2 linked regions of the Schizosaccharomyces pombe genome follow. Changing the gene in region 1 together with any one later gene gives a genetic interaction. Each region holds a gene or a part of one and is shown on either strand. Other genes may lie near its edges.

The links. A genetic interaction does not mean that the proteins touch.
Region 2: mutations in swd2 (region 1) and ccp1 together harm fitness more than expected from each alone (negative genetic interaction), as found in Schizosaccharomyces pombe (2 studies listed by BioGRID).

The regions. Positions count from the first base shown.
Region 1 is NC_003423.3:1,781,010-1,785,031, forward strand, and holds swd2 (Set1C complex subunit Swd2.1), read right to left. Parts: upstream 2,211-4,022; 5' UTR 2,148-2,210; coding exon 1,972-2,147; intron 1,912-1,971; coding exon 1,647-1,911; intron 1,599-1,646; coding exon 966-1,598; 3' UTR 936-965; downstream 1-935. Other genes in the region: SPOM_SPBC18H10.05 (WD repeat-containing protein), read left to right, coding at 1-765; wbp4 (WW domain-binding protein 4), read left to right, coding at 2,250-2,303, 2,377-2,997; ubiquitin hydrolase Ubp4, read right to left, coding at 3,210-4,022. UniProt on the Schizosaccharomyces pombe protein: The Set1 complex specifically methylates 'Lys-4' of histone H3.
Region 2 is NC_003423.3:2,392,298-2,397,505, forward strand, and holds ccp1 (CENP-A histone disassembly chaperone Ccp1), read right to left. Parts: upstream 3,285-5,208; 5' UTR 3,265-3,284; coding exon 3,192-3,264; exon of another isoform or gene 3,102-3,191; coding exon 2,991-3,101; exon of another isoform or gene 2,922-2,990; coding exon 2,406-2,921; exon of another isoform or gene 2,313-2,405; coding exon 2,278-2,312; 3' UTR 2,146-2,277; coding exon of another isoform or gene 1,497-2,145; 3' UTR 1,406-1,496; coding exon of another isoform or gene 1,377-1,405; 3' UTR 1,272-1,376; exon of another isoform or gene 1,261-1,271; intron 1,210-1,260; 3' UTR 1,175-1,209; downstream 1-1,174. Other genes in the region: protein mug20, read right to left, coding at 254-307, 362-629, 673-806; tlg1 (SNARE protein Tgl1), read left to right, coding at 1,377-1,405, 1,497-2,145; eIF2 alpha kinase Gcn2, read left to right, coding at 4,378-4,494, 4,544-5,208.

The sequences.
Region 1 (4,022 bases):
TGGACGGAACTTGAATATGTCGTTTCTACTATTTGTTTTTATCCAGACGGTGAGTCGATCGTTGTGGGCATGTTCTACGGATTATGTGCAATATATGAAACTAAAAATTTACAATATGTGTCCTCATGGCTAATTCATCATTCTCCCTCAAGAAATAAAAAATGCCGAGTCACTGGATTACAGTGCGCATCTATCATTCCAAACGATTCAAAATCCGACAACGTTGTTTTAGTATCTACTAATGACAATGCTATCCGGTTATACAACACGGTCACTCACGCTTTAGTGTTGAAACTGAGTGATGCTCATCGTGTTAATGGCAGAGTACTTTCTCGTTTAAGTGAAGACAACAGTTATATCATTAGTGGAAGTGATACTAATGAAGTAGTTTTATGGCATATTCCCAACAAGGTACTCATCAATGCATCAAGAAAACGCTCTGTCATTCTCCATTTGCCCACGGAAACATTCAAGGTTTGTAGTGAGAGACTGACTTCGACCATCATTGCACCAGCAAGGACTGCTGTCGAAGCTAAAGAGTCGGAACATGATCGCAGTTTAATTGCAGAAGGATACAATCTAGTAAAACCTCATAGTCACAGATCATATGGAACACCTCCTGTACATCCGATTGATATAATAATTGCTACCAACATGGCAGGTATGACTATTGTCTTGTGTGTTGATTATGATTTGGGGAATTCCCATCATGGATTTAGAAACTCAAAATTTGGACACTTTGTGAAGCGTTTATTACGAACCTAATCTCGATTCAAAACTAATATTACTTTACCTTTTTTTATTTTGTTTAAGTCTTCTAAGTCATTCAGGTGTCATTTAAAATAGAGGACTCATTTTTTCCCCCTTTTAAATAATAGTTATGAAGTTTTTTTATGAAATTGTTTTTAATAATAGTATAATATAATATTCATTTTTTCGTGGTTTGTTAAGACACAAAAACAATTTTACGTCCAGAAAATTACTCCAGAATGTGCTGTAACTAATTGAGAGAAGCGTGGATTAAAGCGAACAATAGAAGGTGTTTCTGGTAAAAGGTTTTTAGATGTTGAAGAAGGAATGATAGCTAGCGGGTTCTCTGTTGAATGACTATTGCTGGTCGGAGTAGTTGATGCTAGGCCCATTTCGGTGAATGAATTAACAATGTGATCCGAGTTAACAGTTTGTTTCAGTTCTGGTAGTTGATACATGCAAAGATGCTCATTATCATATGAAGTAAAAAGAAATTTACTATCTGGAGACATGCAAGCTGAAGCATAATAAGTCAAATTTCCATCTTGGGTTTTTGTGCTAACCTTTGAAGGAACTCTTAATAATTCACTTCCACTATAAGCGTCTATAACGTAATGAAAATCATTTCCAGTTGTTAGCAATAGATATTTACCATCAGTACTGAATTCCACATTTGCAATGCGGACATGAGGGGGCAGGAATGTTAAAGGAATGTCTTGAAATGGGCGAGCATCAAATGATTTAATGTTATAAAGAGAAATTTTGTATTTTCTTTCACTAACTGAGGCAAAGATTAGTCCTGTAGCATCAAAAGCTGCAACAACGGGTGAACTAACATTGAGCAAACCCTACGTATTCCTAGTTAGTTTGATTATCAGTAATTGTTATACTCATACCTGGCAATTTGGAGACCGAAGGTCCCAAAGGCGAATAGTATTATCTAAAGAAGCGCTTAAAAAAGTTTCATCTGCTGGTGATACATCGATTGAAGTCACTGTTTGCTTATGGCCAGGAAAATATCGAAGATACCGATTTGTCACAACGTCTAAATAACGAACGGTATTGTCTTCCTTTGTGGAAGCATGTATTAATGAATTTGAATGATGAGTAAACCGACCTAAATGTGCTCCGTACTTTTTGCTTGCAAGTGATTTCACAAATCTAGAAGTTCATGGTCAGTTAGCCAAACAGGTTTCAAAAGTGAATTTAAGAAGTACTTACTTTCCAGAAATGCAGTTATACAGTTGTAAAGTATCATCAGTACACGACGCCAAGCACAACTCTCCACTGTCGTCAAAACTGAGAGAGGTAATTTCACCAACAAAATTCTGATTTTTCAGCCATTTTCTTGGTTGCATAGACGACAACAAGTCAAAAGTAATTGAAACTGTTGTCATTACTAAATAACGGTATGCTAAAAGGTGGGTTTCCTGAGAAAAATATATGGGTAAATAAGTTTTAAGTATGTATTTAGTGCGTATCTCCTATTAATATTCAGAATGGCTGATTACTGGAAAAGTATTCCAAAATATTATTGTAAATATTGCCAAATAGTAAGTTTTTTCTATAACATCCAAAAATTATTTCTAAAGTGGTGAAATTAATAGAATCCTACTAACAGTACAGTTCGTGAAAGATACACCATTTGCGCGACGGAGCCATGAGCAAACTTATAAACATCAGGATGCTATTAAAAAAGTAATGGATGATATTCATCGTTCCAACCTTTTAAGGCAGGAACTTGAGAAGAATTTATCTATACCAAAATCAGCTACTGCTACCACTGCTTCAGCGGTGTCATCTGAACTAGCATCGTATGAGAAACCAAAAAAGGAGCATCCAAAATTACGTCCCTCTAAAAAAAAAGCTACTTTGGATGATTGGGATATTCCTACAAGTTCTACGGAGACTGACACCATCTCTACTACTCATACCAGCTATATTCCTACATTGCTAGCAAAGCAAGAAGAAAATGAAGAAACCAAGGAAACAACTACTAATAAAAATGAGTCTCTACCAGGGACCTCTTTGAAAAGAAACAGAGAGATCATCGAAAAAGAAGAAAGATCTTCATTTCATTTTCGGGTAAAACCAAAAAACTTAGATAAAGTACCTAAGTTAGCTGAAAACGAGGGAAACAAATCGCTAGAAAGCAAGGAATCAAATGAAAACAAAGTGGTGTTTAAAAAGAAAAAGTCTGGAAAGTTAAGAACAAAATCTTCCTTAAAAGAATATGATCAATCTTGAAGAAAAAAACCATCTTTGTTTAAAAAAAATTCTAGGATGAAAAAATTTTGTATCCAATTCCTGCATTCTGTTCAACATAACGAGAGTAGCTTTTGTGTTGGGTAATCAGCATTAAGTAAGTATTCATATCGGTTATGAATGCTAAGTTGAACATTTATTCAATAACTATATTTGAGGTTTATTGAAAACATTTTTCCTTTTTTTATTTTGTTTTATTTAACATTTCTTTTCAAAGTCATTTTGGGACACTTATCTTCAAACTCCTCCAACAGACTTGAGCGTTTATAAAAAAGAATGTAGGAAGAGGAGAAATCTTCTCTCAAGTCAGTAATACCGCCCACTGTTCGAACAATTGAGTCATCAATATGGCACCATTCATTATTAAAAAGTACATCAGATATATAATGTCCATTTTCGAGCTGGCCATAATGACAGATAAATGCAAACAGGTTATAATTGCTAGGAATATAACCAATTCCCGATTGGAAACTCGGTGGTACCAGCATTTTACTTGGAATCTGTAAGCTCAATCCAAGTGGTGTATCAATTTTTTTACGACCCATTACGGATATTTTAAATCTCTGAATTTGTATGATCAAATATTCAGGTAGTTTCGAAATCATAATTACTTTTTTTGCCGACCTTTGAACCTTGCACACGGGACAATGCCATCCATCATGCCCTTGCAAGAGTTCAGGAGCTGAAAATTTTAATAAGCATTCTTGTAGGCTTACTACATGGGAGACATCGTCAATCGGTATCGCAAGCGATGTGAAGGGAGCAAAAGTAGTAGATGTGCGGCCACATGTCATACATTGAGTACGACTGCAAAGTTGACCTACAAAATTGTTGACCACAATACTCTTGTTAGACCGGAGATGCAAGTTCCATTCAATGTGTGAAAAGTGGGACAATGGGAGTTCTTCTCTGGCACTTAATTGATCTTCCGTCAACGGTGCTATCGGAGACCGAGATGCATTGGAGTTCAAATCTTCATGAAGTTTATCAAGAAAGAAATTTAAAAA
Region 2 (5,208 bases), 610 kb from region 1:
GAGAATAAGATAATAAGTCATTTAGAATATCAATTGTAGTAAATATCAAAAAGCTATCCAAGAAGAATAACTTTATCAGAAATTACGCATTTAAACATCTTTTCTTTATGTATGTTTCATAGAGCTCAGAAGCAAATTTAGCGCCGTTTCATTTAGACCTTAATATAACGATGTCAGCGTGTTTGATGAAAGTTGACTTTCTTCGTTATTATCAAGCTTGGTTTGAGGCAGTATGACATTAGATCTCTGAAATTTAAAAATTGTCGAGAATAGCTTTATGAGTTGAGGTTTCAATCATCTTTAGTTTCTTTAAATTTATTGAGGTTAGTAATATGACAATATAATTTGTTTTTATGTTTACCTCCATTGCACATTTGAGCTTATTTTGGGAATTACGACGATGCTGAACTAAATTCTTCTCAAAATTCTGGGAAAGTGCCTGAAATTCTTCCAATGCATATTCTTGGGAAGAAATAGAAGAGATCTTACTATTGACGGACTCCAATTCTGCGTTTATACTATTATATTCCACCAACAGGTTTGACAGGTTTTTCGAAGCATCCAGCTGTAATTTATCTAAAGCACGAAGCTTCTCCTCTGTCGTTCTTAGGCTTTCTAAAATCACGTCTCTGAATTGTTGGGTCAATTAGCTGAAGAAACTTATGGACGTACTTGACACGTGCATTCAAAAAATATGAATGCAATGCACTATCATGATGCTCACTGAATGCTAATACTGCTTCAGATACCATGTTAGCATGGCGATTGCTCAGCTCTGTTTGCAAAGACGTTATAATTTCAGACATGTTGTGGTTCTTGATAACATGTTAATAGTGTCTACGCGTCTTTTGTTTACATCAAGCTAGCGATATATAGCGTACTGTTTTAGCTCACAAGACTTTCTTTGTGTTCAGTTTCTCTTAAAACATTTAGTCTTAGGTTTTTAGCAATAGAATTAATTTTTTAGCACAAAGGCTAGAATGAAAGATTGCTTTTGGCCATTGAAAACGTTTTATTTACCTAGATGTTTACATTTAATCTAACATACAACGGTGGAATACGGTTGAATCAAAACAAAATAGTGACAAGGGGAGGTTGCTGTTTTTTCAACAAGATTGAGATATTGCTTTCTTATTTATTCTCCATTACTTGTTTTGTAAGGACTCAATGTTTACGGTGATCTTTGAGTGAGCAGTTAGGTAGCGTTATCTATCGTAAAGTCGTTACTTGACTGAATCAGCACAGTACTTTAGTATTTGCAGACAGCATACCTGATAATACGAATTTGCTTCGTTTATTTTATATTATCTTATTTTTCTTTAAATTATAAAAGCATTTCCAAGTAGAAAATTGGCTCATATCTCTACATCATCAACATGGAGGACCCCTTTTATGAAGTCAAAGCGTAAGTTGTGCAATGATGAACCAGAAATGTCTTAATAGATTCCTTTTGTTGCTTTAAGATTTTATTTAACTGACATTTATTCGAAATATAGGGATGCATCAAATCAAATGGAGCAAGTGCGAAAGCTTTACAATTCTTTTATGGCCGCACGAAACTCTGGAGTCCTTTCACCAAATACTGAGCTTACTTACGCCATTGATGAGTTAAGCGAAACATTGAAGGACTTAAAAGCTGCTGTGGAAATAGCGATGAAAAATTCTGAGCATTTTGGGTTAGATGAAGAAGAACTAAAGTCGAGAAGGAGATTTGTCTCGGAACTGGATATTGAGTTAAACAATATACAGTTAAAGATGGGTGCTGCCCCAAGCACACCAGTTTCTACAGAACCTTATACTGTTGACAATGGTGCCTCAGCTGGTTTGTCTGAAGAAGATCATGCTGTCAATCGACAATATCAAGAGCAGCTTTATCAGCAACAAGACGTAATGCTGGACGGGGTTTACGACACGATTGGAAACATTCGTGGGCAGGCAGCTTTGATGGGCGAAGAATTGGGTCAACAGGCTGACTTGTTAGATACTCTTGACAATTCCATTGAGACCACTAATAGTAAGCTTCGCAGGGGTATGAAGCGGTTGAAAGATTTTACGATTGCAAGCGCAGACTCTAAATCTGGATGTTGTATTACCGTACTCATTATCATCTTAATTGCATTGTTGGTATTGGTTATTGTGCTGTAACTAAATCTTTATATTGTATTATTTAATTCTTTGAACCATCTTCCCAATAAACGAATAACCAATCATTCCATAGGTAACCTCGAGCTTTGGGAAGACAAAAAAAATTTCATGTCTGTGTTCTCGTTCCTTAAATTAATTAGACTTCTTGGACTTTTTGGAAGGTGGTTCTGCGATTTTTGTGTTAGTTTTACAATACATTGACATCTATCATATCATCTATTCATGCTTTCGCCTTATTTTTTTAAGACCTGTTTTCGTACCTTGCTTTTCTTCGTCCCCTTCTTCGTCTTCTTCGTCTTCTTCTTCCTCATCTTCCTCCAAATCTACTGACTCATCCTCATCACTCGCTTCTTCGGTCATGGCTTCTGTAAAATATTTTACAGCATTTGGAAAAAGATCCTCTGCCAGAAAAATTGTGAGTGTTGCTCCATCAAAATCATCGTCCTCTTCCTCTCCGGTCCATTGAAAATAGTCAAAAAAATTAGGAGGTAATTTTTTATTTTTTCTAAATAAACTCTTTCCTGGTTTCCAATGTATATCAACAGGTTGCGAAGTATACTTGGTTATCTTTTTTTCCAAACCCTCATCATCCTTTGCTTTTTCCTCTTTAATTCTCACTTCTTTTACCAAGGTAAGGTTGTCGTCCTGAAGATATTCGTTTGGTTGAAAGGTAAGCGAAATTCGGACATCCCTTGGTTCCTTTTCATTAAACCTTTCAACATAAATATTTTCGAGTTTTTCAAGTAACACACTATCTTCAGGTGTTATGTACTGGCCTGAAATAACTTAATTAGAATTTCAACAATGTTTAAACAAAAACAATAATAGTATACAATTTTACATACTGATTTCATCCCCAGCAGCTTCCAGAACTACTACCCAAAAGTTGTTAATGGTCTTCAAAATATCACGACGCTGCTCAAAAAGCGGTTGAAAAAGCTCATTTTGTTTCTTCACTAGCACCAAGATACATTAGCAATTGTTAACACATTTTTTATAAAAAACGTAATTTTATGCTACAAAAATGCAAAATCGATTAAACATACATATTTCGATTTCTGCTTTTCCAAACTCTTGCTCTAGGTTTGCGAGATTTTCAAAAGCTTGAGCTGCCTCCATTTTGTAGGTTAATTTCGTGCAAGGGAGAAAAATCTAATAGTAATTCGAAAATTCTCACTTCGTCAACGATGATGAAGGCACTACCCTTACCACGTTTTTACGTACGATGAACAATGCTAGCAAAGTATATCAGAGGCTTTACTTTCCAATATAATGACTGCCGTAGCTTCTGTAGCTTGCAATAATTTAACCTTGACTTTTTCAACAGTATACAAACCATCCATATTACTAGTAATCGAGCAGGATTCTAGTTTTTAACTCACACCATTTTCATAGGTTGTTTTTATAAGTGTAATAACTTATTAGTCTGAACAAAGAGTAAAATTAGAAAATAAACTGTAGTTTGCGCGGTTTCGAGCTTTCAGGCTAGCGTGCTTGCATTTTCCAAACTTCTCCTGACCATGATGAAGAAAGGAGAGGAGGAAAAAAGGTATAACATTTCGAATGCAACTACAAATTTGTATTATATTGCATTATATGAAACGCTGTTATAGTTTACTGGTGTATCTATTTTATCAGTTATGAAGTATGTCTTTGTAGTTTAATCAAAAATCCATGATTATGGTAAAACAATGAAGAAAAGTTAACCAAACGCGATTAAAAGTTAAAACTTTTTGACCGCTTCACTTCAAACAATGAAGCGCTTTGCATACAAATGCAGATAATCATTATATCCAACTGTTCGTTATCGATTGAAGATCTGAAGTCTGATTCATCTTATCCAACTCAAAATTACATCTTAACTAAAGAATGTATGATCCGTGCCGATTATCGCATTTATTCGGCTCAAATCAATCTATACTCATTACAATACCAGTATACTGCGTTCTTCCATCTTTAGTATACCACGAGCGAGAAACTTCTTCCTCCAGCAAATTCGCGGCAAACAAGCAATTTATCTAAAAATCCAATTCAGAGGAAAGAAAAGAAATAGAATTGATAATAATTATATTTTCAAGTCCTATATTGCCGTCCTGATATAAACTGATTTGCTTTCTTTCCTTCCAGTTTACACAGGACGAATTTTCAACCAACAGTTTAATTGTGAATAAATATATTTGCTTCCTATTAAACTAGTAAATTATTGGCAACAATAGTTGGTAAAAGCTGTTCATGGATGCGGCGAAACGTCTGGAACTATGCAAGGAAATTCAAGAAAATGAAATTGAGGCCCTCAAAGCCATTTTTATGGATGATTTTGAGGAGTTGAAAGTTAGGAATGCTTGGAATGTATGATTAATGTTTGTTCACTACCCATTTACTAACAATGGTATCTTAGGTTACAAACGGCCATGTTTATTGTATACATCTATGTTCAAGAAGTGCAAACTCTAAAAGTATTGCGAAACTTGATCTTTGTATTGAGCTTGGAAGAAGCTATCCTTATGTGAAACCAGTGATCAAGTTACAAAATGGAGAAAATGTCCTAAACTCTCAGATTCGATTTTTGCTTGATAAGTTAGATACAAAGGCAAAAGACTTGCTAGGAGAGGAAATGATTTTTGAACTTGCCAGTATAGTGCAGGACTATCTTAATGATTGGCAGTCTGACCTCTCTTCTCAATTTGCTAGCTTGGAAGAGGAACGTGCGGTACAACTAAAGCATGATCGAGAGAGAGCGGAAGTGGATTTACAACTTAGGTTAAAACGGGAGAAAGATGCCTTATTTGAGGAAGAACAAACGCTTCAGAACAAAATTCAAGATGAATTACAACGCCGCTCATACGAAACACCGCAATCTTCTTCTAAGAAAAAGACGAATAGTAAGGAAACAACTTCTCTCGAAACCCTCCCAACTTCTATTTATTTTGATTGTTCTATATCCGTTAGAGACTGTCACGATTCTTTGGTTACATTTAATAGAGTGCTTCCTTTGTATACAATCTCGCATTCCAACCTTTCTACTTTGACTTTGGTCAAGCCTGAATCTAAAGAGATATCTTT